Linked DNA regions of Rattus norvegicus. The protein of the gene in region 1 purifies or fractionates together with the protein of each later gene. This does not show direct contact. Links are inferred from orthologs where the notes say so. Each region holds a gene or a part of one and is shown on either strand. Other genes may lie near its edges. The genes, in order: Vamp5 and Stx12.

The links.
Region 2: the proteins of Vamp5 (region 1) and Stx12 purify together in Homo sapiens (affinity purification with mass spectrometry; 3 studies listed by BioGRID and IntAct, with this or other methods). This does not show direct contact. The link is inferred for Rattus norvegicus from reciprocal best matches to the Homo sapiens genes VAMP5 and STX12.

Annotation. Positions count from the first base shown.
Region 1 is NC_086022.1:105,983,518-105,999,951, reverse strand, and holds the start of Vamp5 (vesicle-associated membrane protein 5), read left to right. Parts: upstream 1-6,704; 5' UTR 6,705-6,817; coding exon 6,818-6,820; intron 6,821-16,434. UniProt on the Homo sapiens protein: May participate in trafficking events that are associated with myogenesis, such as myoblast fusion and/or GLUT4 trafficking.
Region 2 is NC_086023.1:150,367,067-150,383,455, reverse strand, and holds the start of Stx12 (syntaxin-12), read left to right. Parts: upstream 1-7,109; 5' UTR 7,110-7,187; coding exon 7,188-7,305; intron 7,306-16,389. UniProt on the Homo sapiens protein: SNARE promoting fusion of transport vesicles with target membranes. Together with SNARE STX6, promotes movement of vesicles from endosomes to the cell membrane, and may therefore function in the endocytic recycling pathway.

The DNA.
Region 1 (16,434 bases):
TGGGTCTGAAGACTGCTACAGTGTACTCATATACATTTAAAAATAAATAAATAAAAAGGTTGTTGTTTTTTTTTTAAAATAGTATGAGTATGTGAATGAACAGCTTACAGAGGCCAGAGGACGATGTTGGTTCCCCTATGTTGTTGTAAAAATATAAAAAATAAAAAAAGTACTGGTTGTCTTTTACCTCGCTAGGTACTGCACCACGGTGCCCCAAGATATCTGGTAGATATCTTGGTGGAAACACATCCCAACTCCGCCTCGGCGGCCCAGTGTCTCCAGCCGCTACACACTTTCCTACACTCAAACCATCACATAAAAGAACACACAACACAGTAATCTTAGATCCAATTCATAAGATATAATTGCCCACTTAAACATACAAAGCCTGTCTCACCTGTGACATCATCCCACACCCCTGGAGTTACAAGTCCAGTCTACCATGTCTAGTCTATGACCTAGGTATAACCCAGTCCACCATGTCTAGTCTATGACCTAGGTATAACTCAGTCCACCATGTCTAGTCTATGACCTAGGTATAACCCAGTCTGCCATGGCTTGGGTACTTGGAACCAAACCTGGGTCCTCTGCAAGAACGGCACTCTTCCCCCTTCCCCTTAGGTATAAGTTTAAATTTGTTTATTATTAATTAAAATATAATTATACTGTGTTGCCCTTTTCCTTTCTTCTCCCAACACCCTTCAACCCATCACCCTTCGCTCCCTCTCAAATTCATGGCTTCTTTTTCTTTCACTGTTATTGTTTTACACACACACACACACACACACACACACACACACACACCTGCAGATTTTGTGTTTGGTGTTGCTTGTATGTAAGTGCTTACAGAGCTGACCACTTGGTATTGATAGCCAGTTAAGAATCTCATCTGTGGAGAATGATTTCTCCTCCTCATCTGTGCTAACATGCCTGGCGATGTCCTTGTTCAGGTCTTGTTTCTGCAGCCATGTTGTTGCACTCTTAACCAAAGAGCCATCTTTCCATCTCTCCCCCTCCCTCTTGTATAGATGTGTATATGTACATCTGTGTAGGCAAATGCTGGTGCCTGTGTCCCTATGTGTGCATGTGTGCAGAGGCCAGAGGTCAACGTTGGATGTCTTTATTGCTCTCTGTTTTACTACCTAGTGGACTCTGTCTTTTTCTTCCTGACTGTTGAACCTACAGAGTGAGAGAGCGGTCTGTTCTGAGTTACAGCTCTAGCCCAGCCCTCACTCTACTTTTTGAGGCAGGGTCACTCACTAAGCCTGGAACTCATCAGTTTGGCTTCCAATGAGCTCCAGGAACCCCTGTCTCCACAGTGCTGATTACAGAAACATGCGTCCAACTTTTACCTGGGTACTGGGGCTTTGAACTCAAGCCCTATGCTTGCATAGCAAGCACTTTCCCTACTGAGTCCTTTCCGGAGCCCTCCTGTTTTTCTTCATACCACACTGTTCATTGTCACATTTCACTAGAACAAGGATTTCCCAGAGATCTTACCATAAAGAGAATTGAAACTCCATAACACTTGGAAGTAGGATGCAGGATTCAGTGTCCTCCTTTGATCCTGTCAGGTCCCTTAAATATTCTCCTGGACATGCTCACAAAGATACGATGATAGGCCATTTAAGACCTGGTCCAAGGCCTCTCGTCACTTCTGCCATGTCTAGTCTATGACCTAGGTATAACTCAGTCCACCATGTCTAGTCTATGACCTAGGTATAACTCAGTCCACCATGTCTAGTCTATGACCTAGGTATAACCCAGTCCACCATGTCTCATCTATGACCTAGGTATAACTCAGTCCACCATGTGTAGTCTATGACCTAGGTATAACCCAGTCCACCATGTGTAGTCTATGACCTAGGTATAACCCAGTCCACCATGTGTAGTCTATGACCTAGGTATAACTCAGTCCACCATGTGTAGTCTATGACCTAGGTATAACTCAGTCCACCATGTCTAGTCTATGACCTAGGTATAACTCAGTCTACCATGTCTAGTCTATGACCTAGGTATAACCCAGTCCACCATGTCTAGTCTATGACCTAGGTATAACTCAGTCCACCATGTCTAGTCTATGACCTAGGTATAACCCAGTCCGCCATGTCTAGTCTATGACCTAGGTATAACTCAGTCCGCCATGTCTCATCTATGACCTAGGTATAACTCAGTCCACCATGTCTAGTCTATGACCTAGGTATAACTCAGTCCACCATGTCTAGTCTATGACCTAGGTATAACCCAGTCCACCATGTCTAGTCTATGACCTAGGTATAACCCAGTCCACCATGTCTAGTCTATGACCTAGGTATAACCCAGTCCACCATGTGTAGTCTATGACCTAGGTATAACCCAGTCCACCATGTCTAGTCTATGACCTAGGTATAACTCAGTCCACCATGTCTAGTCTATGACCTAGGTATAACCCAGTCCGCCATGTCTAGTCTATGACCTAGGTATAACTCAGTCCACCATGTCTAGTCTATGACCTAGGTATAACCCAGTCCGCCATGTCTAGTCTATGACCTAGGTATAACTCAGTCCGCCATGTCTCATCTATGACCTAGGTATAACTCAGTCCACCATGTCTAGTCTATGACCTAGGTATAACTCAGTCCACCATGTCTAGTCTATGACCTAGGTATAACCCAGTCCACCATGTCTAGTCTATGACCTAGGTATAACCCAGTCCACCATGTCTAGTCTATGACCTAGGTATAACTCAGTCCACCATGTCTAGTCTATGACCTAGGTATAACCCAGTCCACCATGTCTAGTCTATGACCTAGGTATAACTCAGTCCACCATGTCTAGTCTATGACCTAGGTATAACCCAGTCCGCCATGTCTAGTCTATGACCTAGGTATAACTCAGTCCGCCATGTCTCATCTATGACCTAGGTATAACTCAGTCCACCATGTCTAGTCTATGACCTAGGTATAACTCAGTCCACCATGTCTAGTCTATGACCTAGGTATAACCCAGTCCACCATGTCTAGTCTATGACCTAGGTATAACCCAGTCCACCATGTCTAGTCTATGACCTAGGTATAACTCAGTCCACCATGTGTAGTCTATGACCTAGGTATAACCCAGTCCACCATGTCTAGTCTATGACCTAGGTATAACTCAGTCCACCATGTCTAGTCTATGACCTAGGTATAACCCAGTCCGCCATGTCTAGTCTATGACCTAGGTATAACTCAGTCCGCCATGTCTCATCTATGACCTAGGTATAACTCAGTCCACCATGTCTAGTCTATGACCTAGGTATAACTCAGTCCACCATGTCTAGTCTATGACCTAGGTATAACCCAGTCCACCATGTCTAGTCTATGACCTAGGTATAACCCAGTCCACCATGTCTAGTCTATGACCTAGGTATAACTCAGTCCACCATGTCTAGTCTATGACCTAGGTATAACCCAGTCCACCATGTCTAGTCTATGACCTAGGTATAACCCAGTCCACCATGTCTAGTCTATGACCTAGGTATAACTCAGTCCACCATGTGTAGTCTATGACCTAGGTATAACCCAGTCCACCATGTCTAGTCTATGACCTAGGTATAACTCAGTCCACCATGTCTAGTCTATGACCTAGGTATAACTCAGTCCACCATGTCTAGTCTATGACCTAGGTATAACCCAGTCCACCATGTGTAGTCTATGACCTAGGTATAACCCAGTCCACCATGTGTAGTCTATGACCTAGGTCTAACCCAGTCCACCATGTGTAGTCTATGACCTAGGTCTAACTCAGAGCCAGAGGCTGAAGGCACTAGTCAGCTTATCAGTTGCTGGTTGTTCTGTGTGTTCTGTTTGTCTTTTGTCTACTCTTGTTCTTCTGGGTCTTTTAGAGCCCTGGATCTCAGTTGTTCTGAGAGAGTGGGGGTGAGCATCTCTCCCCCAGAGTCTCATGGCTAGTCACAGTCAGTGTCACAGGACCAGGCCTATAGCACAATGAGCTTTCTGTCTTCTGGACTCCTCCTTCCCGCCAGGTTCTTTATTACTACTGTTCTTTCCAGGGCCCAGTCTGCCTTGGTGTGTGTGTGTGTGTGTGTGTGTGTGTGTGTGTGTGTGTGTGTGTGTATAGGGGTGTGGGGTGTGGTTCTTGGTTCTACACAACCTTTCCAGAATTAGAAACAACCTGTTGTTGGGAGAATGTGAGAAAAGGGATGGGTTAAGAGAAGAATTCAGGACTCTATAGAGGCCAGACTTTGTAATCATGCTCCTGACTCCACAGAGGGCAGGGAAAGTACCAAACAGTCCCTCTTGGTCTGCTTTTTTTTTTTTTTTTCCCGGAGCTGGGGACCGAACCCAGGGCCTTGCGCTTGCTAGGCAAGCACTCTACCACTGAGCTAAATCCCCAACCCCTCGGTCTGCTTTGATATGAGTGGGCCCTACCCTCTTTATCCTCTGCCCATTCTGAGGTAATGTGTCCAAGTATGGAAACCAGTGGTCTATCCTCACAGTGGCTCAACCCAGGAAAGTAAGTCCCTGGCATTTTGGTTAAGAGAGGCCACATTTAGGATGTCAAGGCTGGGGAGGTGGAAAATGGCTTTGGCTATTTCTCTACAGCAGCTCAGGAAGGCTACACGATGCTAGAAGTGCACCAGCTTCCACAGCACAGGAAAAAGCCTACAAGCTTCTAGTGAAGAGTTGAGAACAGAGAAAAGCCAGAGCCAGCACTTCCAGTAAGAGGCTGCTTTCATTTTCCATTGGAGTGAAATTCATGCAGCAGGGATGGGGGCGTTTTGAGACAAAGTCTTACTTTGTAGCTTTGTAGCCTAGCTTACTCTGTCCTGGAGTTTACTATGTAGCCCAGGCTGGTCTCAAACTCAGTCAGTTCTCCTCTACTTAAGTGTTAGGATCACAACCATAAGCTACAGTACAGTGCCAACTCACTTTTCTGTTTTGTTGTTTTATTTTGTTTTCTGAGGCAGGCTGTCATGTGTAAACTCTCACATTCATCATTCATTATAGCAGGTCGTGATTGAACTTTTGATGGCTCTCCAGTGCTGGGATTTCAGGCATCTCCCACCCAGTCTCATTTATATGATGCTGGAGAGCAAAACTAGAGCTTGGTACAAAATAGGCAAGCACATCCCCAGCATACACTTACAATTTAATTTTTCTCTTAAAACTTCAGTCTTGGGGTTGAGGATTTAGCTCAGTGGTAGAGCGCTTGCCTAGGAAGCGCAAGGCCCTGGGTTCGGTCCCCAGCTCCGAAAAAAAGAACCAAAAAAAAAAAAAAACTTCAGTCTTAATTACTTGTTCTTTAAATTGCTCTTATTTTATGTGTAAAGGTGTTTCCCCTGCATGTGTGACTGCGCACCACATGTGTGACAGGTGTCCTCAGAGGCCAGAACATGGCATCGGATCCCTTGGAGCTAGGGTTACAGGCTGTAATGAGCTGACATGGGGGGGGGGGGCTGGCAATTAAATCTCAGACCTCTGGGGGAGCATCCAGGGCTCTTAACTGCTGAGCCATTTCTGCAGTCTCACATTTTCGTCTTTGATTAAGCACATAAAACAGTATCGTATAATATATCCCTCTGTGAGCATTTTGTGAGATTCAGAGCACCGTGTATCCTTTATAGATCTTTAGACTTTCTGATTGCACCTTCTGCACAATTCTTTAAAAACAACCTCATTTTAACCTTGAAGTTGTCTGGAGGCTGGGATGGGCCAGTGAGATTAAGGGAAGGACTTCTCAGTTCCCAGTTCTGCAAGGAAAGCTGCAGTATCCTCAGCATCTCTTATTCAAAAACTCCATCTTCCTCGAATGTTAGAGGACCATCCAGTAAGGCTGGCATCAGAAATCTAAGAGAAAGTATGTGTTCTCAGGCTGGACAACCTCTGTTTGTTTCCCTTGTAGCAGCTTGCTCTCCAACTCTCTCCCAAACTCACTGTGGAACTCTTCGGGACACCTGTGTAGTTGTCTGTATTTTATTCTCGTACAGAAGGAATGGTCTCTGCTTGGGTACCACTTTGGAAGCTGGCTCAAATCTCCTCCTTTGCCTCTTCTGCCTCGATTGGTTCAAAGCTTGGCCTGGCTGCTGCTGTCACCTTTTATTTGGGGCTGGAGTCCATCCCAACAGCTTTAATGGCTTGTCCATCCACACACCATTGAGACTTTTAGCTCACAGAAACGCCGGCAGCAATTTTAGCGCTGAAAAAAATCTCCATCCCCTAATGTATGGAGATCAGAGGACAAATTGAGGAGTTGGTTCTTTCCACACTGTTAGTCCTAGGGACGGAACTCTATAATCATTAGGTTTGACATCACGTGACTTAAGTCATCTCATTGGCCCCTAGCTTATCATTTTTAAGTGTATAACTCGGTGACATAGAATGTACTACCTGCTCTGTCTGAAAACAATCAGAACTTTGGGGTGGTTGGTGTGCTTTTAATTTCGGGTGAGCAGCACTCACCAAGGTGGCAAACACTCCTCCTGGCTTGTTCATGTCATCTCCTGCACTTAGCACTCAAGCACTCACGAATGCTTTCCACATGATGGAATGACGGAACTCCTGTTGCAGCCCTCCAGATCCAAGAGACATCGTTCCCCAACCGGGCTGGGGTGTCATCGGAAGTCGGACGCCGGTGACCCGGTAGGAGGCGCCCCACCGGCCCTGTCACTACTTTCGGTTTGTCCGGGCCCGGCACCTCTGAGAAGGCGCGCCCCCCTCCCTCTTGGACCGCCGGTCCGCCCCGCCCCGCCGCTTCCTCTGCGGCCGCGGGCACTGAGGCAGCGCGAGGCAGAGGAGCCGGAGCCCGCGATCAGGCAGCGGCGGCAGCTGCGGAGGCGATGGTGAGATGGGAAGGGGCAGAGGGCGATTGTGCAGGGGCATAAAGCCAGAGCCGAACTCCAGGGGCGTGGGTCACGCTGACCACAAGAATCAGTCCCCAACTTTGCAGGCAGCCTGGGAGGGAGACTCCAGAGTGCGCCCCGTCGGGGCGGAGTGAGCGGAGCTGCAGCTTCTCACGCTCCTGAAGCAGTTATCAGCTCCGACAATACCGGGCAAGTCACTTAACCTCCACCAGTCTCCTTTTCCGCGCAGTGAAGTAGGGGCAGCAATACCTACCTTGGTGGGTCCTTGAGAGGTTAAAGTAGATGTTTATGGTCGCTGCTGCCAGGCACTCAGAACCCTTTGCTGAGAAGTGGTAGGTAATGTGATGACCTCTCCAGCAATTCCCCAGGCTAAGAGGAGCCAGAACTGGCCCAAGGGTTGGAAACCTGAGCACATGCCTGGTAGAGGCCCGGTGCTGAAGGATAAACACTTGCCCCGGGGAAAGAAAAAATAAGTTGTTTACTATAAAAGTTCCATGAAGTTATTAGAGGGACACAGGCTGACTTCTTCCTGACCTCTGCCTAGTAACATAATCATGAGTTGAGTCACCTACACTCTTGCTGCAGACTTGTCATTTCCAAAAGTGTCAGGGACCACTGGTGCCTGGATCCCACCTTCCAGGGCGCCTGGGAAGACGCCAGACTGGGAGCAAGTTTAGTACTGAATGGATGTGACCTGGCTAGAGGTGGCAATGCCTGGATGGCCTCATCTCTGGGGAACTGGAGGCAGGAAAGGGAAGTGTGGCAGGAAGGTAGCCCTGAGCTTTGAGGCCACACCAGGAAACTGAGGGAAGCTCTGAGAATGGCTGGAGCTGAGAGCCCACTTCCGAGAGTGCCGGGCAAGATGGGAGGAGGTACGGGATGGTCCATCAGCTGGCTTTAAGCTCTAGGGGAGAAGTTCTGGAAAGAAGGCTGAGCCAGGTTACGTTTATCTGGCTGTTCAGGAGACCCTTGGGATGTCTATAGGTACACTCCAGGCAAAGGGGGTTCAGAGCCTGGGGGGTGCATGCTTTATTCCTTCAGCCTGTCTCCGGCTCTATCATCTATCTTTTCTCCCCACCCCCGTCCCCTTTTCTGTCTCCAGCTCTTTCTTCCGTCATCCCACCCCTCTGACTACCATCTATACCCACCCCCACCCCCAATTTCCCTTCCCTTCCCTTCCCTTCTCTTCCCTGGGACTCATTCAGTCAAAAGGACTTTTTAAAATTAATATCCAGGGTTTTTTTTTTTTTTTTTTTTTTGTGCCCCTGGAGTAGGACAAAGCAGTGACGGGGGGATGGAAATCAGCAATCATCTTTTTTTGCAAATACTGTGGGCATGCTTGTTCACATGTATGGGCACATATGTGTTTAGGTATGTATGGGCACACATGTGTTTAGGTATGTGTAGGCACATACATGTGTAGGTATGTATGGAAGTCAGAGGTTGCTGTCAGGTGTCTTATTTAGCTGTTCTCCACTTTATTTTTGGAGATGGTTTCTGGTTCAACCTGGAGCTCACCAGTTTGTCTAGTCTAACTAGCTGACTTGTCCCCGGGATCAGCCCCCCCCCATTTCTGCCCCTGAGCCCCAGGCTTACAAGCAGACTGCCTGGCTTTCATGTGGCTGCTAGGGATTCAGACTCTGGTCCCCAAAAGCTTTAAAAGATTTTATTCATGTGTATGAATGTGTTTTCCCTGCATGTCCGTGTGTGTGTCCTGTGCCGGCAGTGCCTGTGGAGGCCAGAAGAGGGTGTTGGGTCACCTCCTACTGGAATTTCGGGTGGCTGTGAGCTACCAAGTGGGTGCTAGGAACCAAGATCTTCTAGAAAAGCAGCAAGTGGGGCTGGAGAGATGGCTCAGTGGTTAAGAGCACCGACTGCTCTTCCTGAGGTCCTGAGTTCAAATCCCAGCAACCACATGGTGGCTCACAACCATCTGTAATGAGATCTGATGCCCTCTTCTGGTGTGTCTGAAGGCAGCTACAGTGTACTCATACAATAAAATAAAATCTTAAAAAAAAAAAAAAAGAAAAGAAAAGCAGCAAGTGCTCTTAAATGCTAAGCCATCTCTCTAGCCCCACCGTAAATAACTAAAAAGTATTTAGCTTGCTTGTTTGCTTTTGGGGGGACATGGTCTCATGTAGATCAGATTGATGTGGAACTCGCTATGTAGCTGAGCCGCCATGTCTGAATGGAATTAACTTTTTTTTTTTTTTGAGGTAGTCTTGCTGTATAACCTGCCTTGAAGTTGCAGCAATGCTCCTGCCTCTGCCTTCCAGGTGCTAGTATTTGACACCATGTTCAGAAATAGAATAATATTTTTTTAGACAAGGTCCCGCTAGATACTCTATAGACCTGACTGGCCTCGAACTCTACCTACTGAGTACTGGGATTAAATAGGTCCATGACTACACTCAGCCTAAAATGGTTCTTGGAGTCATTCGTCTGGCAGAACTTGTGCATTTAGTCCCAGGCCTCTCTCCTTTGAACACAAGCTTAGTTGGCAGCATCAAGGGGCTAGTACTCCTTAGCCAATCATCAGGGGCATCAGACCTCACGCTTTCTGTGCGTCTGGTTTAGCACAGGGGTTAGACATGTGACCCTTGGTATCTCTGTCCATTCTACCCTCAGGTTGCCTACTTACCCTGGGCAACTTAACGCCCCTGGGCTGTTATGCAAGGACAATGATAATACTTTCTTCAGTGGGTTATTATGAAGGTTTAGCCAGACACCCACATGCACTGCCAGCTCAGTGCTGGCTCAGGTCCTGTGCCCACTGAAAGGTAGCTGTTACTGTTGTCCAACACTTAAGGCCCATAATCCCAACCCTTGGGGGCAAAGGCAGGAGGACCCCCAAGACCCAGGCCAGACTGTACAATTTATTGAGAGTCTGTTTCATGATTCTTTTTAAAGAATTAAAATTTCTGAAAGGGCTGCAGTATGGGAATTCCTAGGTTCGAATCCCAGTACCACACAAATAAACAAAGATCTCAAGAGCCTGTAGCACCTGATGAAGACAGCAGAGACTGGGCTACAGCACTGGTTCTCAACCTGTGGTCCTCCACCCCTTTGGCAAACCTCTATCTCCAAAAGTATTCACATTGTGATTCATGACAGTAGCAACATTAGAGTTATGAAGTAGCAACAAGAACAATTTTATGCTTCGGGGTCACCACAATGTGGGGAACTGTATTAAAGGGTCTTGGCAATAGGGAGGTTGAGACCCACTGGGCTAGAGGCTGGTTCTCAAAGATCTACAGACAGCTCCTCTCGAAAATAAGAAACAAGTAAAGCATAAGTGTGCAACAGTGAGGCTTTGGCTGGTTGTGGATCTCATAAGAAAGAAAAAGATGACTCTCTTGAGGAACTTACATCCGCACCTGCGATATCCTTATAAGGTCCCCAACACTTCTTCATAAGCAGGGGGTGGTGGGGTTGGCTGAAGCAGTGGCTCACTGGTTAAGAGCATTTGATGCTACTACAGAGAACCTGAGTCAGAATCCCAGCACCCACATGGTGGCTCACAACCACCCCTAACTCCAATCCCCAGTTCCAAGGGACCCTGGGTGCTCTGACTTCCTCAGGCATACATATGGTGCACATACCAACATGCAAGCAAATTTACTAGCTGTAGACCAGGCTGGCTTCAGAGATCTCCTCCTCTGGGATTAAAGGTTTTCACCATCACTGCCCAGATGACTTTTTTTCAACATGTAAATTTGGGGGAAGGAAGTCTGACTGCCTCTCCTGACTTTCTTGGGCACCAGGCACACACATTGTACACATACACATGCACAGGGAAAACATATTCACATAAAGCAAATTACTCATAATAAAATAAATCTTAAAAAAAATTGGCTACTCTTATAGGGACCCCAGGTTTGATTCCCAGAACACACATGGCAGCAAACAGCTGTCTGAAACTCCAGTTCCAGAGGGTTGGACACCTTTTTTCTGGCTTCCTCAGATCCTGTATGCAGCTGGTGCACAGATACACACACAGACAAAACAGCCATGCCCATTCCCATAAAATAAAAATAAATCTTGAGAAAAAAAAAAAGAGAAGTTGGAGGAACCAAGTGTATATGATGGTGTACATCTGTCCTCCCAGCACTTGGGAGGTAGAGCAGGAAGTTTGGGGGTTCAAGGTTTTTTTTTATTTATTTTTTTGGGGGGGTTCAAGTTTATATTAAGCTATGTAGTGAGTTCAAGGCCAGCCTTGAATAGGACTACCTTAGATCTGTCTCAAAAAGAAAAAAGGAAAAAACCCATGGGCTACAGAGATGGCTTAGTTAGAAGTAGTTGCTGTTCCTACAGAGGCCCTGCATCCAGGCTTCTGTAGTCATTTTGGGCGATTCCCATGGTAGGTGCCTGAAGAGCCAGCATAGGTTGTCAGCTCTCCTGGAACTGCAGTTACAGATGGTGAAGAGCCATCATGTGGATGCTGGGAAAGAAACCAAGGTCCTCTGGAAGAGCAGCCAGTGCGCCTAACCACTGAGCCATCTCTCCAGCCCCTATACTTTTTTTTTTTTTTTATTTAAAGATAAATCTTAGGACTGAAGAGATGACTGTTCCCCCAGAAGACCTGGATTTGATTCCCAGAACCCACATGGTGGCCCACAATAATCCGTAATTCCAGGCACACACATTGTGCACATACACTCGCATAGGGAAAACACTCATTCAGGTAAAGAAAATACATCTAAAAAATTTCACATATTTAAAAAAGAGTCAGCTGGGAGGTGATGGCGCACGCCTTTAATTCCAGCGCTGGGGAGGCAGAGGCAGGCAGATCTCTGAGGCCAGCCTGGTTTACAGAGAGATGTCCAGGACAAGCAGGGCTACACAAAGAAGCCCTGTCTCGAAAGCAAACTAAATAAACAAACAAATAAATAGGTCTTTAATATAAAGAAAAGGAGATGAAAATTCGGTCTACATTAGTACTAACTGATGTCATTTATTCAGCATTCAGTCAGGTGAGGCGTTGTTAAGGCTTTTGTTTATATCGTGTCACATAATCTGAGCTAGGATGATGAGGTTTATGAGGTAAGCACGGTTATCACCACAACTTTACCAAAGAGGAAGTGACTGGTCAGAGAGGTCCCATTCTCAGTGTCCGTTACTTGCTGGAAAGTGGCGGAGGCGGAATCTGAGGCAGCACACCTTGTTTTGGGGGGATAGGGTCTTGCTAGCTGAAGCCAGAACTCATCCTTCTGCAGGTTCGGGGGTCCTCCTGTCTCCCACGGCCCAAGCAACGCTTCGAGCATCAAAGTTACAAGTCCTCTCCAGCACACTCGGTTTTCACATGGGCGTGAGCGTGTGGGCTCTGGGAATCTTCCTCTATCGTGTCATGTGCTCTGCCCTCCCCATGTACCAGGGTTCTGTGCAAGCACGACCACACCCTACTTCTTGATTTTAATGACATGGTCTCCGGCAGAGGCAAGGAGATATCTGTGAGTTCAAGCAGCCTAGCTGGTCTCTATATTGAATTCCCTGGAATTGGGACTTCTGAGTTGCAATATGTTGCTGGAATTGAAGGTCTAAATCGTTCCTCCTGCCTCAGCAACAAGAAGGGTATCTTCTTTTTTTTTTTTTTTTTTTTTTTGGTTATTTTATTTTATTTATTTATTTATTTATTTATTTGGTTCTTTTTTTCGGAGCTGGGGACCGAACCCAGGGCCTTGCGCTTCCTAGGCAAGCGCTCTACCACTGAGCTAAACCCCCAACCCCAGGGTATCTTCTTTCTTTTTTCTTTTCTTTTCTTTCCTTTTGTGTGTGTGTGTGTGTGTGTGTGTGTGTGTGTGTGTGTGTGTGTGATGTTAGCAGTGGAACCTATAACCACACACACTAGGCAAGTGCTCTGTCACTGAGCATGTCTAGCGCCACACAGAGGATTGAGAGTGTGTTTTCAGACGAGCCCAGAAAATCCAGAAAGGGGCTCTAGAGGGTCGGGTGTGCCGCTCGGTGTCAGAACAACTGCCCTGCACGTCGTGTTTTGTGGGCCTGGGTTTATTCCCTTAGCGTGGGCTGTGTGTGGGGTGCACATGTGTTGCAGGGGGATAGTCTGTACAGATAGTACCAGTCTGACAAGAACATTCCCTGTGTAATTACCACCCGATATCTGGAAACTACTCCCCTCTACCTCCCTTTGGCTCAAACCCCCAAGTCCTGCTGGATTCTGGCAGGTCTCAGAAATACTGCTCTCCCCCACACCCCTTCCTCTTTACCCTGGGTGCTTTCCTGACCCTGTGGCATCGCCTCATACCCTTGCCAATGCATGGCTTCTCCCCATTGGCTGGCCTCCGGTTGAACTTCTCACTTCTGTTCACTCATGTGTATCTTTTGTGTGTGTGTGTGTGTGTGTGTGTGTGTGTTTGTGACCTTGCTCTATCACTCTGCCAAATTCCCTTGAGACTAGGTTTCTCACCAAACCCAGAGCCAGAATGGCAGCCAGTAAGATCCAATGATCCTGTCTCTGCTCTCCCGGAGCTGGGGTTTTGGGGTGTGCAGCCACGACTGGCTTTTACACGGGCTCTTGGGATCTGAACTCAGGAGCTTATGAATATTCAGCAAGCACTCTCATGACCCACTGACCTTGAGATGGTCTCCTGTAGGTCAGACCGAAGATGGACTTGATTTTCTCTGACCCTCTGGCCTCTGCCTGTGGAATGTTGGGATTACAGGTGTCTGCCACACCTAGTGCATTTTGAGACCCAGGCTGGCCTGGAACTCAGAGCTGCATGCCGCCTCACCTGGCTTGGTTGGCTTTTATCACTTCCTCTGAATTAGTTTCTACCCTTGACTTCCACTGCTTTCCCTAGTCCCACCCAACCTCTCCACCTTCTGCCCTGTCCCTTCCCTAGTGGGCTGTGTCCCTGGCTCTGCAGAATGGCTCAGCTCCATCCCAACTCCTGCCCTTTTGATTTCAATTCTCTGACCCTTATAATCTGTTCACTTCGTGGGTGGCTAGGGTACTTTATGTCTCTGTAATTCTCCTCTGATGGTATCACGTGCTTCTTTTCCTCAGCTCCCTGAAAACAGGGACGACTCATTCAGAAAATGTCATGTGTCTGCCAGATGCCAGGCCCTGGCTGAGAGCAGCACGGCCCTTGCCCTCTGTTTGCTCAGCTCTTCCCTAAAACTTACCCTAGCAATTTATTTTTTACACTGCCAGCAAAAAACTGTATACATAGTCAGGGTTCTTTTCCCTCTGGTTGAGGAGGGCCAATGTGGGCTGGGATCTGGTAGCTGTGTTCCCGGGAGCCCATCTTAGCTCCCAATAGGCAATAGGCCTGGCTTCTCTGCAGAGGGAAAAGGCTAAAGACTGCTGCTAGAGGCACAGCCACTCTCCATTGGATGTGACTCTTATACTGGTATCAGATAACAGGAGCTGTAGCATCCAGAACAGAAAGCCAGAGCTAGAGATGTAGTTCAGAAGGTAGAATGCTTACCTAGGCATGAATGGAACCCTGGGCTTTGATCACTAGCACCACATAAACGGGGTGTGGTAGCTGTAATACTAGTCCTGGGTAATAAGATCAGAAGTTCAAGGTCATTTTGGAGGTTAACCTGGGCTATACAAGATCTTGTCAGAGAGAGAGAGAGAGAGAGAGAGAGAGAGAGAGAGAGAGAGAGGAGGTTAAGGAGGAAGTTGCTGGGGTGATGGCTTAGTAGTTTTCTGCACTTGTCACTGACACAGGAGAACATGAGGTCACATGTCCAGAATCCATCTTAAAAGCTGGGCATAGCTGTACACACCTATAACCTTAGTGCCTGGGGAACAGGAAAAGAGACAGGAATGTTGGTGGGGCTTTCTAGCTGCCAGACTCTTCCAGGTTCAGTGAGAGACCAGCTCTCAAGGGGATTAAGGTAGATGGTGCTAGAGCAGGGCACCTGGCATCATCCCTTGGCCTCTGGGTGCATTGCAGACAGGTGTCCTAGCAGGCACATGTTTACGTGCACTTCACACTCATACACTGTACACACACACACACACACACACACACACACACACAGTCAGACAGAGGCCAGCGAGATGGCTCAATGGTAAAGCGCTCTACACACAAGCCTGCTGACCTGAGTTCAATCCTCAGAATCCATTGTAAAAGTGGAAGGCAAGAGCTGACTCTACAAAGTTGTCCTCTGGCCTCCACAGTTGTGTCCCCCTACAATAATAAGGAGCAGAGTTACCCTCGGAATACCACCAACCTCTAGTGGTGGTTCCTGTGACTAAGTCTTTGTCCATTCCCAAGTCTGTACTTTAGAGTGGGGAAGTTCAAACAATGGCGCCTTGTCCAACAATACAGTCACCACAGTGACTCAGGAATGGGAGGAAGCATGAGTTCTCTTCTCTGCTGCCCTGTGTCCCAGCATCTGAACACCCTCTGTCTCCTTGGTTTGCTTGCCCCACACTTAAAACAGGCTGTTTTTCTAGCTCTTGGGTAAATATTGACCTGTTTGGGTTTCAGATGCCTGTCCCTTGAAACCCTTGCTGGGCTAGATAAGCAAACCAGGAGAACCTCTCTTGAGACACAGAGTTCCTTTTGGATAGGCAATGAGGCAACTGGCCCCTTTATTAGTCCTTGTAGGGATCAGCATTGTGTTGGCCTCCCAGGCTTCTGGGTGCTGGAGGATGGCACTGCCCTCTGCCCTCCCCCTGGGACCTTTTTATCCAGACAGGACTCATGCACCGGGAATGCTCTGAGGCTGTGCACAAGGCAGCTGCAGAGATGCTGGGTGAGGATTCTTGCCTGAATAGGAAGCAATCCTCTGTGACTACCAGGTCCCTTCCAACAGAAATTCTCCGGTTTTAAGTGGAATTCTGTCAAGTGCCAGACTGTCTGCTGCAAACAATTGGAGATATGGGCCGGCAGGAAAGGCAGGCAGGGTAGTGGTTGACTGTCTGTGCAAAGGAGACAGCATAGGGATGGGCTAGAAAGGATGAGGCTGAGGGAAGGGAGTTGTGGTTTGCTAATCCTCTGGTATTCATCTTCCTGAATAGACCTGCTCATGGTCTTAGCACATAGCAGGGGAGGAGGGGTGCCCCACCCTCTTTCCCTCTGCCCCCCTCCCTTTCTTTCCCTTTCACCTCCCCCAGGTTGAAACTTGTTCCCATCTCCTCCCAACCCTTTGAAACAAACTGGGTTTCTTGGTTAGGTGAAGCTGTACTGCTCAGGTCCAGAAGCCAGACTGTCAGTTGGATCCTATTGAAGACTCTGGAATCCAGTGAAGCTGACTGACTAGAAGGCTGGAGGCCACAGGCTAGAGGATCTGAGGTTGTCAGGAGGAGAGGAACTAGAAGGTGGTCACTGAGGTGGAGAGCAGGTTAGCTCAGAGGCAGAACTGGCCTGACTGGTCAGAGGTCCAAAGAGGGAGGGCATTGAGCCGCTCAGTTTGCAAGGGCTTCTAGGCAGACTCGGATGTGATCTGGTCTCCGATGAGCTTCCTAGTTCTGTGGAGCAGATTGTTTTCCTGCCTGGCTCCCTGGTCTTTGGTACTTCTTGGGGTCAGTAAGAAGCCACAGGAAAGGTGAACATTGGGTAGATGCCATCTTGGAGCAGGTGAGCAAAGTGTCTGCTTTGCGGGAAGGTGGGGAT
Region 2 (16,389 bases), on another chromosome or scaffold:
GATGCGTGCTCCTGGTGTGTCTGAAGACAGCTACAGTGTACTCCTATATAATAAATAAATCCATTTTTAAAAAAAAAAAAAAAGTTCAGGGTTGGAGAGATGGCTCAGCGGTTAGGAGCACTGACTGCTCTTCCAGAGGTCCTGAGTTCAATTCCCAGCAACCACATGGTGGCTCACAACCATCTGTAATGGGATCCGATGCCCTCTTCCGGGGTGTGCCTGAAGACAGTAAGACAGTGACAGTGTATTCATATATATAAATAAATAAATCTTTTTTTTAAAGTGCAATTTAGGGCCCTAGGGAGATGGCTCGGTGGTTAAACAGCTTGCCTTGCAAGAGTGATGTGTGGAGTTTCAATCCTCAGAAATGCTCATCCACCAATACTCCAGCCTGTGACAATGGAGACAGGATCCCCACAGGAAATTCTGGGTTTGAGGGAGAGACTCTGCCTCAATGAATAAGGTAGAAGGGAGAGTGAGGGTGATTCCTGGCATCAGCTTTGGGCTTTCACACCCAGGAATACACAAGTGATGTGGGAACCTGAGGGCTCTTTGGAGAATCAGTTGTGTTGGACGGTGTTTCGCTGGGACCAACACATGAAGGAGCGTTTTCCTCAGGTGGACGCAGGTGAAAGACTAAGGCAGACTCGTGAAGGAATGCTTCACTGAAGTAGACACAGGAGAGAGAGTGTTCTGCTAAAGCAAACACATGAAAGGACACATGATGAAGGACACGTATTGCCAACAATGCATTGGTCAGCCTTACATGCATTTGTTGGAACTCCGAGGACTCTAGCTGACTGGAATAACGTGTTGTGAGGCAAGACCCATGCTGAGGTAAGGCATGTGAGGACACGTGATACAGGAGTATAAATAGGACTCCACAGAGCCCTAGAGTGATGGAGATGGAGCCTGGCTTGCTGGTACAGCTAGCTGTGTGACGCTTGTGGGTCTCAAGTCTTCAACGATCTTCACTTCCCTGAGAGAGGCAGAGCCGAGAGCTTCTCTTGACATTCCTCCTGGCCCTTCCTGCTGACTGGAGCCGAGGTTGAGGCTTGGCTGTCTCTGCTAGGTCATGTCATTGCTACTGATTCCTGTTTGATATTCCAACGCAACCAAGCTGGACTGCTGGGGTATCCATGAAGTGTTTGTGAGTGGATCGAGCTGCAGCTGCCTGTCTCTGGTGGACGGAGGTTAAAGCATTTAAGAACCAACATTAAAAATAAAGTTTGCAAAAATTAAAGTTGCACACAAGTGTACCCACGCACAGGAAGACACATGTGCACCTACCCACCCACCTACACACACACACATGAAACTAAAAGAGAAAAAAATATAGTTTATTGTAATATGCTGTACTGTGGCACTACATTATGATAAAAATATCTAATTCATGCTCAGGGACTGGAACCTTTGCTGGGCCTCTCGGCTAAAGTTAATAATACTGTTATGGTATTACAGTTGCTAACTGCTACTGTTACAGTCAGTGCTGCCTATTGTAGAGGAGCATGCCTTGAACCTCAGTGTTTTGGTTTTCCTCACTCCTGGGAAAAGACCATAGACTCAATCAACTAAAAGGTTTATTAATTATTGCTAGCAGGGCAACAACCTCTAAGCCAGACTTGAGATCGCTGTGAGAAGGCGGTGAGGGAAGAATTATTTTTTAAGAAATTAAAAAAAAAATGGGTTGGGGATTTGGCTCAGTGGTAAAGCGCTTGCCTAGGAAGCGCAAGGTCCTGGGTTCGGTCCCCAGCCCCGAAAAAAAAAAAAAAAGAATTTTATATTTAATGTATGTGAGTACACTGTCATTCTCTACAGACACACCAGAAAAGGGCATCAGATCTCATTATAGATGGTTGTGAGCCACCATGTAGGTGCTGGGGATTGAACTCAGAACTCTGGAAGAGCAGTCAGTGCTCTAACCACTGAGCCGTCTCTCCAGCCTAGCAGTCAATACTCTTAACCAATGAACTACCTCTCCAGCCCTGAGAGAATTTTTAAAGGGAAACCAGCAAAAGGAGCTTGAGCATTGGCACAGGCAAGCCAGGAGCTGTTTTGCTCTGCCTAGATTAAGTTGTCAAGATGACCTGGATATCTGCACAAGCAGGTTAAAAGAAGACAAAAAAGCAGAAAACAGTCAAACTGCTGTAAAAAGTGTAACAAGTAAATACATGGTCGTGGCTTTACATTTCTGTGTGTGTGTGTGTGTATGTGTGTGTGTGTGTGTGTGTGTGTGTGTGTGTGTGTGTGTCTTAGTTAGGATTTCTTTTTTTTTTTTTGGTTCTTTTTTTCGGAGCTGGGGACCGAACTCAGGGCCTTGCGCTTCCTAGGCAAGCGCTCTACCACTGAGCTAAATCCCCAGCCCCTCAGCCTTCCTTCTTACAGAACCCAGAACCACCAGCCCAGGGATGGCCCTCCCCCGCTGATCACTAATTGAGAAAAATGCCTTATGGCTGAATCTCATGGAGACATTTCCTCAGGGGAGGTTCCTTCCTCTCTGATGACTCTAGCTTGTGTCAAGTTAACTCACAAAACCAGCCAGCACAGTGGCTTTATTGAGTCAGAGTCATTGGGAACTATCTTCCAGAACTTGAAGTCATCCATAAATGGCTAGCGAGTACCAAGATGGGCGCCTAACAGAAAATGGAGGGTTTTAAACTTTATTTATTTGTCATCACACCAGCATTTGGGAGGCAGAGGCAGCTGGATCTCTGTGAGTTCCAGGCCAGCCAGGGGCTACAGAGTGAGACTCTGTCTTGATAAACAATAACAGGGCTCAGCGGTTAGGAGCACTGACTGCCCTTCCAGAGGTCTTGAGTTCAATTCCCAGCAACCATATGGTGGCTCACAACCATCTGTAATGGGATCTGATGTCCTCTTCTGGTGTGTCTGAAGACAGCTACAGTGTACTCATCTATAATAAATAAATCTTAAAAATAAATAAATAAATAAAAATAAATATTAAAAAAGACTTCAAAGTGCTATCCTAGTGTATAAGAGACCAAAATACAAGTTGCAAAATAAAAAAAAAAAAAAAAAAACCGGCCTTATTTGCCCTGGATTTCCTACACAATCCACATTTACTGCCCAAGCTAATATGTAAGTGCAATCCTATGTTTCGTGTCCTCCCATGCCCTTCACATAGAGTAGTGCATGTGCGTGCTGGTAATCTTTAGCTGAAAACAGGAAAGAGGCCGAAAGCCTTAGAAAGTGAGAATCCACCATAAATTACGGCAGTGGCATTTGGACAAAGTGTCCCTCATTCCTTCTCCCATGCTTTCTGGGCTGTTCGGAGACACAGGGCAGCAGGCAGCCCTTTGCGACGGACAATGGAAGACACAGGGCGAGTGAAGTAGAGAATTCAGCCTCCGCCGCTCACTCTTGGCTAAAGGACACAAAGGGGAAGTGTTTGATTTCCGTCCTTAATGTGACATCAGTGTATTATTAGTGACCCAGTGTTTACGAATGCATTCAAACTGATACATTTTAGGGCCTCATGTGGGGAATCTAATCTGTTAAATCTGTGCAGTAAAACATAGGCTTTAACATAAAACTGTGAATCATAAGGAGGTATTAGTTTGTGTGTGTGTGTGTGTGTGTGTGTGTGTGTGTGTTGCTGTGTGTGTGAATGGTGCATGCACATATATACGCAAGTGCATGACCCTGTGTGTGCACACTCAGAAGATGGAGAATTTCTTCTTTTTTTGGTCTTCGCATTAATGCCTTGAGACAGGCTCTCCCACTGATCTTTGACTAAGCTGGCTGAGTAGTGAACTCTGGGGACCCACGTCTATCTGTTCCTTAATGTCTACTTGCAGGCCTGGGCGACAATGTCCAGCCTTTTTTTTTTTTTTTTTTTAGATTTATTTATTTTATGTACATGAGTGTTTTTGCCTACATGTATGTATATGCGCCATGGGTATACTCAGTGCCTGAAGAGGCCAGGAGAGGGCATCAGATCTTAGAGTTACAGTCAGTCGTGAACCAACCTAAGGGTTCTGGGAATCAACCAACTCAGGTCATCTGCAAGGATCTCACTCTTGACGGCTAAGCTATCTCTCCAGCCATGGCATTCAGCTCTTTACCTGGCTGCTTCAGGGATTCGAATTCAGGCTCTTTGTGTAGAACAAAGGCTCTTACCTAATACCCCATCTCCTTGGCCCTCATTTGGGGTTTTTTTTTGGGGGGGGGCGTTCAAGGCAGAGTTTCTTTGTGTAGCCCTGGCTGTTCTGGAACTTACTTTGAAGGCCAGGCTGGCCTGGAACTCTGAGATCTGCCTGCCTTAAAGGCTTGCACTACCATTCCTGGCTCCATTGTTTTTGTTTGAAACAGGGTCTCACCGTGTATTCCTTGATGGCCCAGAACTTACTGTGTAGTTGGTCTTGAATTCAGAGATCTGCCTGCCTCTGCCTTCCAGGTGCTGAGATTAAGGCTGTGTGCCACACTGTCCAGCCAAGATGCCATTGCTTTTAATCCCAGCACTTGGGAGGCAGATGCAGAGAGGTACGCAGGTCTTTGAGTTCGAGGCCAGCTTGGTCTACAAAGTAAGTTCCAGGACAGCCAGGGTTATACAGAAAAACGCTGTCTTGAAAAACAAACAAAAATTCAAACCAAACAAAATACATTTAAAGATAAAAATGGGGATGCTTTCCTTGCTGTAAAGTGTTTATAAAACCAGCAACTTAAAATGAGAATTCACACATAGTATGTGCCCCCAAAATATGATTGTTACTTTATTGAGTAATTAGGAGGGAGAGGGGCTGGAGAGACAGTTCAGCGGTTAAGAGCACTGACTGCTCCTCTAGAGGTCCTGAGTTCAATTCCCAGCAACCACGCGGTGGCTCACAACCATTTGTAATGGGATCCGATGTGCCCTTCTGGTGTGTCTGAAGACAGCAACAGTATACTCACATAATACAATAAATAAAAAAATAAATATTTAAAAAAAAGAGAGGAGGGAGAAATAAAAGTACTTTGAAACCCTTAAAACTCACCAATCGGCTATAGATCTGAACGTCAAGGTTGCTTAATTTGCCTATATTTGAGCCTGGGTTCTCAGAATAGAGCAGAAAAGGAAGTAACGGTTGGGGTAATCTGGCACAATTTAATGTAAATCAAAATTTCTTGCATGATGACCTGGACTTTGGGGAGATACAACATGGGTAGGAAAACTTGTCCAAAGGCATCTCCTATTTCACTTCATTGTCCTGTCTAGCATGTTCCAAACCTGGAGAGATCTGATACTTAAGTCACTATTTATCTGGAGTCAAAGCACTTGTACTAATCATGGCGGTTGTCTGGGGAAGCCCTGAACATTGAATGAAGGGACCTTCATGTTACTGAAGTTGAGACACTGAATTGAGGCAGCATTGGTGATCTTAAAACCTACTTCCCCAAACGTGCTTGGCTTCTAGTAGTGAGAACAGATAAGATTAGATGTAAGCCCTTCCAAGGAGAATGGTGCCTCGATTTCAACTAGGGTCTCCCCAGAGACAGCATCTGGAAGAGGCTTTTCTAACAGCAGGAGAGGACAGGATCGATGTCACCACAGAAAGCTTCCAACTTAGCCGCCTCTTTTTCTCCTGAGCTCCTCAAATGATTAGTAAGGCTTCCGTGGGATTTGTGGGGCTGGTTCATATTGTAGCTTATACCATGTGACCAGTTGTCAGACCCAAGATCTCTCGCCCCCCGCAGCTAACTGCAGGTGTTTGGGGTGTGATGTGGGTAGCTTGCCTCCACCTGAGTGTCCCTGATCTCTCTGATGAAAGAATATACCTTTTCATCAATTACCTGACACTTCAATTTTTCATCCTTGAAAAGGCAAAGTTTGGGGCTGGAGAGATGGTTGAACAGTCAAGAACACTGGCTGCTCTTCCAAAGGACACAGGCTCAATTCCCAGCAACCACACAGCAGCTCACAGCTGTCTGTAACCCCAATTCCAGGGCTTCTGACACCCTCACATAGGCAAAACACCGCTGAGCATAAAAATAATTAAAATAAAAGGAAAGGAGCAGTTTATGGTGTCTATCTGGAGTTTCACCAAAAACATGGCTTATGGCAACTCCGTGGCCCAATCCTCTGGCGAATGTAAGTCTCTGGTCTGTCTTGAAATACTGGGAGAAGAATGCAAAATCATATTCATGCCTCGGGGATCAGGAATGAATTTTTTTCTTAGAACTTTTCCCATAACCTTTTGAATCAGAAAGTCTCTTCTTCCCTTTTACACATCCAGAGTCGGAGTCGGGAGTCAAGCAGTTAGTTATCTGTCACAGGAGGAGGGGCTTTGATGTAGTAGGAGAGGCTGGGGAAGGCAGCCCAGTTTTCGTCGGTGTGGTGCACATTTTAAGTTGGTGGGCTGTCAGCCAAATGCGATCTAACTGGCAATATATCTCATGACTGAATTCCGCAGGAAGGGAATGTTTTTTATTTGTTGGTTTTGTGTGTGTGTGTGTGTGTGTGTGTGTGTGTGTGTTTCGAGACAGGGTTTCTCTGTGTCACCTTAGCTGTCCTGGAACTCACAGAATGGCCTGTATACCAGAATGGCCTCAAAGTTAGGAAATGATATTGACAATGTTCCAGAATCCCTTGAAGTGGGTAAGCACGGAGTACACCGTGTTGGCGGTTGGTTTCGGTAGTAACTTCATTCTTGTTAGAAATGTAGGTGTTGAACAGTTTTCACCATCGAATTCTGTCGGGTACAACAGAATTGTACTGGTCCAATCCCATGCTCGTGCATTCACCTCTGTTTTGCCATGGGTTGAAAAAGCGAGAATTTGCAGGGTGGCTGAGCAGCAGTGCTGCGCCGAGCAGCAGGATGCGGACGAGCATGTTGGTGGCAGGCAGGTTGTTGAGCGCGGGGCACGCCGTCTGTAGGAGACTGGGGTAAGAAGTCAGGTCCTGAGTTGGCTGCATAGCTAGAGGTGTCCAGTCTTGCGAGAACGCTTACTCCCAGCAGTTTGAAAACTCTCAAGACACTACCTACCGTCAGTTCCAGCAGCACACGCGCACTGCGGGATGGGGCGGGGCGTGCGCATGCGCACCGCAATGGGCGGGGTCAGTGTGTACGCAGTCACGGCCCCTTCCCCGCCCTCTCTCTTCCCGGTTTTCCTCTCAGCTACTGGGCCCGGTCAGTGGCAGCTTCCGGTAGGAGCGCCGTGAAGCGCGACCCCGGTCTCTGCTCCGTGTCATGTCCTACGGTCCCTTAGACATGTATCGGAATCCCGGGCCGTCGGGGCCTCAGCCCCGTGACTTCAACAGCATCATCCAGACATGCAGTGGCAACATCCAGCGGATCAGCCAAGCCAGTGAGCGAGGGGACCCAGCCGGGAGCGGGGGTGCGGCCTCAGGGACAGGCCTGGGTGAAGCTGCTAAGACGCGGAGCCGGATCGGGGCCTCAGCTACGGCCAAACCTGAGGCAGCCGCGAGCCTCCACTCCCGGCGCGGCGAGCTGCCTTCTCCCGGGTCGGTCAGGCTCGGGCCCTTTAGGTCCACACCCCTGTCTTCGGGGTTGTGAGTTGACGGTGCTGGGGGTCAACAGAGCCGACAGCCAGAGGGTGGGAGAGAGTGTGTGTCATCTCTAGGACTGTGAGCACAGGGTTGACATGGCGCAGTGGTCAGCCGAGTTTTTCCAGTCGTCCCCGTCTCCCCACCCACCTTGTTTTCCTCAGTTCGGATCAGGGGGGTGCTTACTGGTTGCGACTTTAGGTTCACATTCTGCTCGGCGGTTGGGTCCTCGGACATCAGCAACTTTCAATTAAGGGAAGTGGAGAATGCGTGCATTTTGGGTGATTTAACACACTGTGCTTCCTGGTAATTAATCTGGAAATCAGTCAATGACTGGTATTTAAGGGGGGAGGGACTCCTGTTTTATGGCGGAGAATGCACCGGGAACATTTTAGTTTAGGTTGTCTTTTGTAGCAAAGACGTTTTTAAAATTTCAAAACATGAAGATTTCATTTTCTGCCTGGTACAAAGTCAGTTTGTAACTGCTTACCTTAAAACTCCCTTCTCACCATTAAAGTGTAAAGTGGTTTTTTGAGCCTCAGAATCGGCCCAGAGCCTTGTAAACAGAACAACAGAAGCAATTTTACTTTTAAAATAGTGACAACCATCTATGGGGTTTATCATTGTGTTTTTTTGTGAGCTTAGCTATACTCTGTTAATAGGTAGAGTCAGTTCTAAATTACAATTATGTCCTAAACTTTAAAACATAAGCTATCACTTTGCTTTTACTTTAATTTTTGAAACAGTTTTTCGATAGCTCTGACTGCCCTGCAACTCATCCTGTAGACCAGGCTGGCTTCAAAATGAGAGATCCACCTGCCTCCCAAGTGCTGGAATTAATAATGTGCACCACCACACCCAGCTTGTTACTTTGCTTTTAAATCTAAATGTATACTGTAGAATTTGAGAGGTAGATGATTTCAGGTGGGAAGGGTTAGATTTGGAGGTAGGAAGGATAGTCAGCTTGTCAACCCAGATATTAAAAACACAATAATACTATTGATGACTAGACAGACAGTATGGTACTTTGTGTCCCAGTTTCCTTTTATTTTGGAGCTGTAATACAGGTTAAATCAGAAATTTCTTATTCAAGGGGCTGGCAAGATGGCTTAGGTAAAGTGCTTGCTGCGAAGGCCTAACAACCTGATTTGAGCCCCAGAACCCAGATAACGTGGAAGGAGCAAATTGACTCCACAGAACTGTCCTCTGACCTCCACACTCATCCATACTCGTTCCCTGGCACATAGAGTGTGTGTTTATATTAATTTGTGTGTATATTCCACATATCATAATACAATAATAATAAAAAAATTTTAAAGAGAATTTTGTGCAAGGTGTTGGTGGGGCAGACCTTTCATTCCAGCACTTGAGAGGTAGAGGCAGGCAGATCTCTGAGTGTCAGAGGCTAGCCTGTTGGTAGCGTTCCAGGACAGCCAGGGCTATACAGAGGAACCTTGTTTTGAACCACCAGAAAGAAGAAAAAAAAAGGGGGTGTGAGGGAGAAAGAAAGAAAAATTGTGTTTTCTCAAGACTGGAGTTTTCTCATTGACACTAACCTAGTTTGAATGTCTATCTGTGGGTATTTCATATCTGAGCATTAAGTTGTATAGTAAGCTTAGGAACTGATACAGATTCTTTTAATCACAAGTCTGTGTTCACTTAAATCAAAATTTAGAGTTGAAACTGGGCATAGTTGGCACACAATAGCATTTGAGAGGCCGAAGCAGGAGGATTATCATTACTTAGAGGCAAATCTAGACTGACTAGTGTGTTCAAGGCCATCCTGGGCCACATCTGAGTCTCTTTTCAAAAGGAAAAAGGGATAAGAGGAAGGAGGAACAGAGAAGGGGTTTAAAACCAAAGCCTAGGTGTGATGAGTCAGGTCTGTAACCCTGGCTCTCAGGAGACCAAGGCAAGACAGTTTCCATGGGTTCAAAGCCAGCCTGAGCTATAGAGTGAGTCTTAAAGCAAAACAACGAAGAAAGGTGATGGTGGGGAATAGGAGTGGTTTTCTTGGTGATAGATACTGATTTAGTGCTGATTAGGCATTGGATCCTTAGAGTCAATAATTAATAATGTTACTAGCTGCTGTTTAAGTACATAGTGTGCTAGGCCATATGCAAAGTGCTTTACATGTAATATCCTAACCGGTAACAGCCCTGTAGAGTAATTACAAATATTCCTAGGTTATGAGGTAGGAAACAGGCTGAGAAAAGTTAAAGAATTGCCTAGCTGGGGCTGGAGAGATGGCTCAGTGGTTAAGAGCACTGACTGCTCTTCCAGAGGTCCTGAGTTCAATTCCCAGCAATCACATGGTGGCTCACAACCATCTGTAATGGGATCCGATGCCCTCTTCTGAAGACAGTGTACTCACATAAAATAAAATCTTTAAAAAAGAAAAAAAAGAAAGAATTGCCTAGCTGAATGTGTGTTTTTCATTTCTTTTTGTTTTTTCTTTGTAATATACTCATCTTCTCTGCTAGATTGTTAGCTGTTTGAGGTAGGAAACATGGTTCATTCATCTTTGTTTTTCTGCTGTTTACCTCTGTCCCAAGCATATGATGGGTTCTTTCACTCAGGGTGCAGCGACCATTCTTTGAGCACTGATGTTCACTGGTAAGGAGCAGAGAACGAACTTCTGCATGACATCGTGTGGATGTTTGCATGCATTTACCAATAATATCAAGTCATAGCAGGTGGTGCGAAGGAAATGGAGCAGGCTAAGTGCATGGAGGGAAGGGAGAATTACCATCCCCTGGTGAGGACAGCCTCTCTCAGGAGATGATTTATTTTTTCTAAGACAGGGTTCTCTGTGTAGCCCTGGCTGTCCTGGAACTTGCTCTGTAGACCAGGCTGTCGTCAAACTCAGAGATCCACTTGCCTCTGCCTCCTAAATGCTGGGATTAAAGACCTGCACCACCACTGCCTGGGTAGGATGATGCCTGAATCAGCAGATACCAGAATGGAGGGAGCTTTGTGAGTGGTGGAGAAAGGCAGTGTGTGCTGAGGGCAAATGCAAGGACTTTCAGGGGACAAAGAGTAGCAAGGAGGCAGGCGTGGCTGGATGAAAGGCAGGGAGTAAAGAAGGAAAAGACACCAGAGTGGTAGCCGGGGTCAGGGCACATGAAAGCTTACTAATTGTTTTCAGTTAATTTGAGGGGATGAGGTTTCCCTGTCATTTTGTTTGTTTGGCTTGGTTTATTTTGTGTTTTGAGACAAGGTGTCTCTGTAGCCCTGGCTGTCATGGAACTTGCTCTGTAGATAGACCAGGCTAGCTTCAGACTCTGCCTCCTGAGTGCTTTTTTGTTTTTCGAGACAGGATCTCACTGTGTAGTTCTGGCTAGCCTGAACCTGGCTATGAAACCAGACTGGTCAGGAACTCATAGAGATCCACCTGCCTCAGCCTCTAGAGTGGTGGGACTAAAGGGATGTGCCTATACCAGTCTCTACATTATTAACTGAAAAGCTAAGATCTTTGAACTTTTCGAGGTTTGTTAACTGAGTTTAGATTTTCCCTCAGCTTCTTGGTAGTTTTGTAATGTTTCGGTGAATTTTGCTTTACCTCTCCTGCTGTCTCCTCATCTATGGTTATAATTATTTCATAGAGTTCTGAGAACTGAGATAATTTGCGTGAAATGCTAAGACAGTGCCTGCTACAAAGCGGGTTCCTGTAATTCTCACCCTTGGGAAGTGGAGGCAGGAGGCTGGAGTTCAAGGCCAGCCTCAGCTACATAGCAAGTTTGAGACTGGCTTGGCTATGTGAGACCCTGTCTTAAAAAGGCAAACAGTACCTGCCCCCTACTGAGTGAATACACAAAACATGTTTTCTGTCATTTGGTTCTTTTTGATTAAACATAACAAGCCAATTTTTCTCACAGTTTAATACCTACTTAAATTCTATATTCCTTAATTAAGCCAAGCTTTTTGACCTTGTCCCTAGAGCAGTACTAGTTTGGTGGGATGAAGGACTAGGCATGACACACTTCTCTTTGGACAGTGCCTGGCACAGCAGTGGAATGTTGGCATTTAGTATGTACTTAATTGATTTTTATCGTTGCTAAGTACATTCATTCTTCTTGGTCTTGAGTTTGATAATAATAGCCGTCCTTAGCTGAGTGCTTTTATGTGGCAGACAGCATTCTAAACTTAGCCCATATCATCTTATTTCATCCTCACATCAACCAAAGGAAGTGTCCCTTGTTACTCCCACTTCTTAGGTGAGGAAACAGGACAGAAGAGTGTCATCGTTTTACTCTAGATCACTCAGCTAGGAAGTGCTGGAACCAAGAATCAAGCATAGGCTGTCTTGCTGTCACGCTGCTCCATGCCTGTGATTCTGTCACTTAAGAGGCACAGTCAGGGGGCTGGGGAGTTAGCTCAGTGGTAGAGCACTTGCCTAGCAAGCACAAGGCCCTGGGTTCGGTCCCCAGCTCCGAAAAAAAGAAAAAAAAAAAAAAAAGAGGCTGAGGCAAGAAGATCAGGATTTAGGTCTGCGTATTTTCTTTACTTTCTGTCTTTCTTTCTCTCTTATTTATTTATTCATTCAATCATTCATAGGGTTTGTTTTTTTGTTTTTGTTTTGTGTGTGCGCGTGTGTGTGTGTGTCTGTGTGTGTGTGTGTGTGTGTGTGTGTGTGTGTGTGTGTGTGTGTGTGTGTTTTGGAGACAGGTTTTCACTATGTATTCTTGGTTGGCTGGGAACTCATAGAGTTTTGCCTGCCTCTGCCTCTTGAGTGCTGGAATTAAAGGCATGTGTCACCACACATAGCCTTGTTTTATGTTTTAGTACAACTAATGCTTTCTACGTTAAATATGTTTGTTTATGAGTGTGTGCCTATGGGTAGGTATGTGTTCCGCATGCATGCCTGGTACCCTCATAGGTCAGAAGATGGGAGTCAGGTGGAACTGGAGTTACAGGTGGTTGTGAGCAGACACGTGTGCTAGGAACCAAATCCAGGTCCTCTGCAAGAACAACATGTTTTTAGTGGATTGAATTAGAGCATTAGATTGTCTCAAGAGAATTTTTGTCCCATCTGTGTGATGGAAGCTACTTTCAATGCGGTTAAATAGGTTTGGACTGTAGTTAGTGGGTATTTAGATTTTGCTGATATCTGTTAAAAGTGGATACGAAGTGTTCAAGTTATAATTATTCCTGGTGTACAATAATTGATTTATTATTATTCATCTTTTTTTTTTTTTCTTTTTTTTCCGGAGCTGGGGACCGGACCCAGGGCCTTGCACTTCCTAGGCAAGCGCTCTACCACTGAGCTAAATCCCCAACCCCTCATTTTTTTTTTTTTAAAGAAGAGTTTTAGCCAGGACACACTTTTAAATGGGAGGACAAATGTAAAGTTTAAACCAAATGTAAAGTTTCTAATATTAGGTAGCATTTCATAGGACGTACTCAATTGTCTTTATGTAAAATATTTTTAATTTATTTCAAGTGTATGAGCATTTGCCTGTATGTATATGGCCCTGAAGACAGTCATGAGTTGTCATGTAGGTGTTGGGAATTGAACCTGAGTCCTCTGAAGAGCACTGAACCACCTCTCCAGTCCATATCTAGAGTATTTTACCACGGGTGGGGAAGGTAGTTCAGTGGTAGAGCACATGCCTAGCATGTGTGAGATCCTTGGCTCACTCCCCAGATGATCTACACGTGCAAAATCATATTATAAAATGTTGTATTGATCTACTTCATGTGCTGGGGATTGAACCCAGGGCTTCACATATATGGTTGGCAAGCATCTCCCACTGGAACTGTATCCCTAACAGTAACATGTCAGTCAAAGTGGACTGAGGAGATAGCTCATTTGAGGATCTGAGTTTGATCTTCAGAACCCAGATGTCGTACTTCAAGTGCCAGGCAGACTGAGACAATTGAATCCTTGGAAATCAAAGGCAAGCCAAGGTGTATGACACTTGAGGGATGACCCCTAGGATTGTTAACTGCCCACACACTCCCACACATTTTCCTCACCCCCAAAATAAAACTTTCATTTGCTAGAATTCTTGGAAAAGGAGTGTCCAGGTTTAAAGAGTTGGCTGAGGGTTGGGGATTTAGCTCAGTGGTAGAGCGCTTGCCTAGCGAGCGCAAGGCGCTGGGTTCGGTCCCCAGCTCCGGGGAAAAAAAAAAAAGAGTTGGCTGAGGGGTTAAGAGGATCTGGGTTCAATTCCCAGAACTCAGATGGTGACTCACAACCACCCCTGACTTCACTTCCAAGAGATTGGTGTGTTCCTCTGGTCTCCTCAGGTACTAAGCACACAAGTGGTGCACAGACATACATGGAGGCAAAATACTCATACATATAAAATTTTTAAGAATTAAATAAAAGGAGTGTTCACATTAATCAAGTGGACAGAAAGTCCTTTTAAATTTAATTCACTTTGATAAAAATATCTTTCAAATGTATCATTTTAATATTTTAAGCACACTCAAGTGAAAATAAATCTTTGTGTAAATGTTTCTGTTTTGTGCTTTAATTTTGGGAAGGTTGCAACTCTTGGGTGTAAGCTGTGTGGGCTAGTGGTCCCTAGTTATTAGTCTCAGGTCCTCATGCTGTGCTTACAAAAAGCAGTCTGCAAGCCTTAGTGTCAGGTAAATAAAAGAACCTGTCATCCTTTTGCATTGGATTTTAGGGTGTCTGATGAGTCTAGATGGAAACTTGTAGCTTCTTGGTGTTCAGAAATATAGAAAGAGCCAACGAAGGCTACATTCATGCTAGTGCTTAGTAAGCAAATGACTCCAAACTCCCAAGCTGACTTCCCTAAAGTCCTTAACTAGTAAGTTCACATGATTTCAGCAAAGGAAACCAAATAATGGGGGGAAAGTTCTGTGTCATTTGTAAGTGCACAGAAAACAACTGATTATGGCTGTCTCCATATTCTCTCAGATCACGACAGCTTCCTAGAGTGTGTAATTCTTGGATGGGATGAATCGCTAGTTACACACCCTGATGCACCTTTAGATAGCCCCAGTTTATCTTTTCCCCTTCCCCCAAAACAGTTTCTCTGTGTAGCCCTGGCTGACCTGGAACTCACTCTGTAGACCAGGCTAGCCTGAAACTCAGAGATCTGCCTGCCTCTGCCTGTCCACCCCTGCCCGGCATCAGCCTACTTTCAGAACAGCTTCATTCTGTAGTCCAGGTTGGCCTTGAGGTTCAGATCTCCCCCATCCTCCTGAGTGCTGGCTGGCAGTTCAGGTGTGTGCCGCTGTACATGTCTGCCTGACTCACTCTTCCTTCTTTCCTCTCTTTCTTTCTTTCTTTCTTTCTTTCTTTCTTTCTTTCTTTCTTTCTTTCTTTCTTACTTTTTTTCTTCCTTCCTTCCTTCCTTCCTTTCTTTCTTTCTTTCTTTCTTTCTTTCTTTCTTTCTTTCTTTCTTTCTTTCTGCCTTGGAACTCACTGTGTAGACTACTCTGGCCTTGAGCATACCAACATGGGCCTGCCAAGTGTTGGTATTAAGGAAGGCATGTGCACTATGCCCAGTTTACACCTTGCATTTATAAGATTAGGAAAGTCACACATGTCTATCTCCGAGGCTCACATTCCGGTTACAGAGAAACTCTATGATTATCCACCATACTTCTGGGACTAGAGTGTTTCATTGTAACTGACTTTGGGGCTCACCCGTGTGGGAGGACTTGGAGATCTTTTAGTCCTCAGGAGTAGCACTGTAGTGAGAGGCTGGGAGGTAACTCAGCTGGCACAGAACTTGCTCAGCACACCCAAACCTTAGGCTTAATCTCTAGCCCCACAAAAGTCGGGTGTGATAACCCATGCCCGAAATCACCCCAGTACTCCAGAAGTGGAGGCAGGAAGATCAGAAATTCAAAGCCATCTTGAGTTATGTAAGGAGGCCAACCTTGGCAAAGTAGAAGCCTGTCTCAATAAACTACGAGATTTGGTGAGAAACATTGAAAACTCCACACATGTAATAAGTCTTCAATAAACAGTTAAATCTGGATATAATCTGCAAGTGGTAAAAAAGGCCCAGCAAAATAAAATAACACACTCGGCTCCACACATCTGTTAATGGTCAAGTATGGCTAAGATGTTAAGTCTTTTTATTCCTAATTTACCTTGATTCACATCTTTTGCCTTAACTTGAATGCCATAAAGTTGAAGGGAAGAGGCTGAGTCAGTATTCTTGCACCCTCTGAGTGCCTGGCCCTCTCTGCTGGACTCTAGTAAGTACAGAGGCATATGTATTCCCAGAAATGGGAGGCACTGGGGAGGGAGCAGGTTAGAGTCGGGATATCAGTCTACCTGGAGTTAGGTTAAGGTACTGTCAGATAAACAGGGTGGGGCAAAGTGGAACTCTGGGAAGTCAGACCAGCCCTGTGTGACTGCATTCTATTTCCTTCAAGACTCAGCCCTCGGAGAGTAGCACTATGTGACTCAAAGCATATAGTCTTCGGAACAGCCCTGTGTTTGAGTTCTAGTTATGGCATGCTGTTCATAACCCATCAGTCGCTCGCTGTTTAATTCAAATCTCATTGTAATTGCACAAGGTCCTCTTTGGCCAGCGCTTATCTCTTGCTCACTCAGCTCCAGCGCTGGCTGTCGCACCACGGGAGCTCCCTTGGAGGACTTTGCCCTGGTTAATTACTCTCTTTGCCCGGATGGCCCCTTCCCCATAAGTGCACTGCCCTGCCTTGCATTTTCTTTAGGTCTGTGCTCATTGTTTCCTTATCTGGCCATTCATGTAAGCTAGTGCCCTCTGCCTACTCCTCCGCCCTCACCTCAGCTTATTTCCTTTGGTCGGATTGTTATCGCCCAGTGTGTTTTTATCATCCACCCTTGAGAGCGTCAGCTTCCTGAAGCAAGTGCCTGCTAATGTCTAGGACAGTGTGGAGTATAAGCACGGTTCCCCGAGTGAACAAGT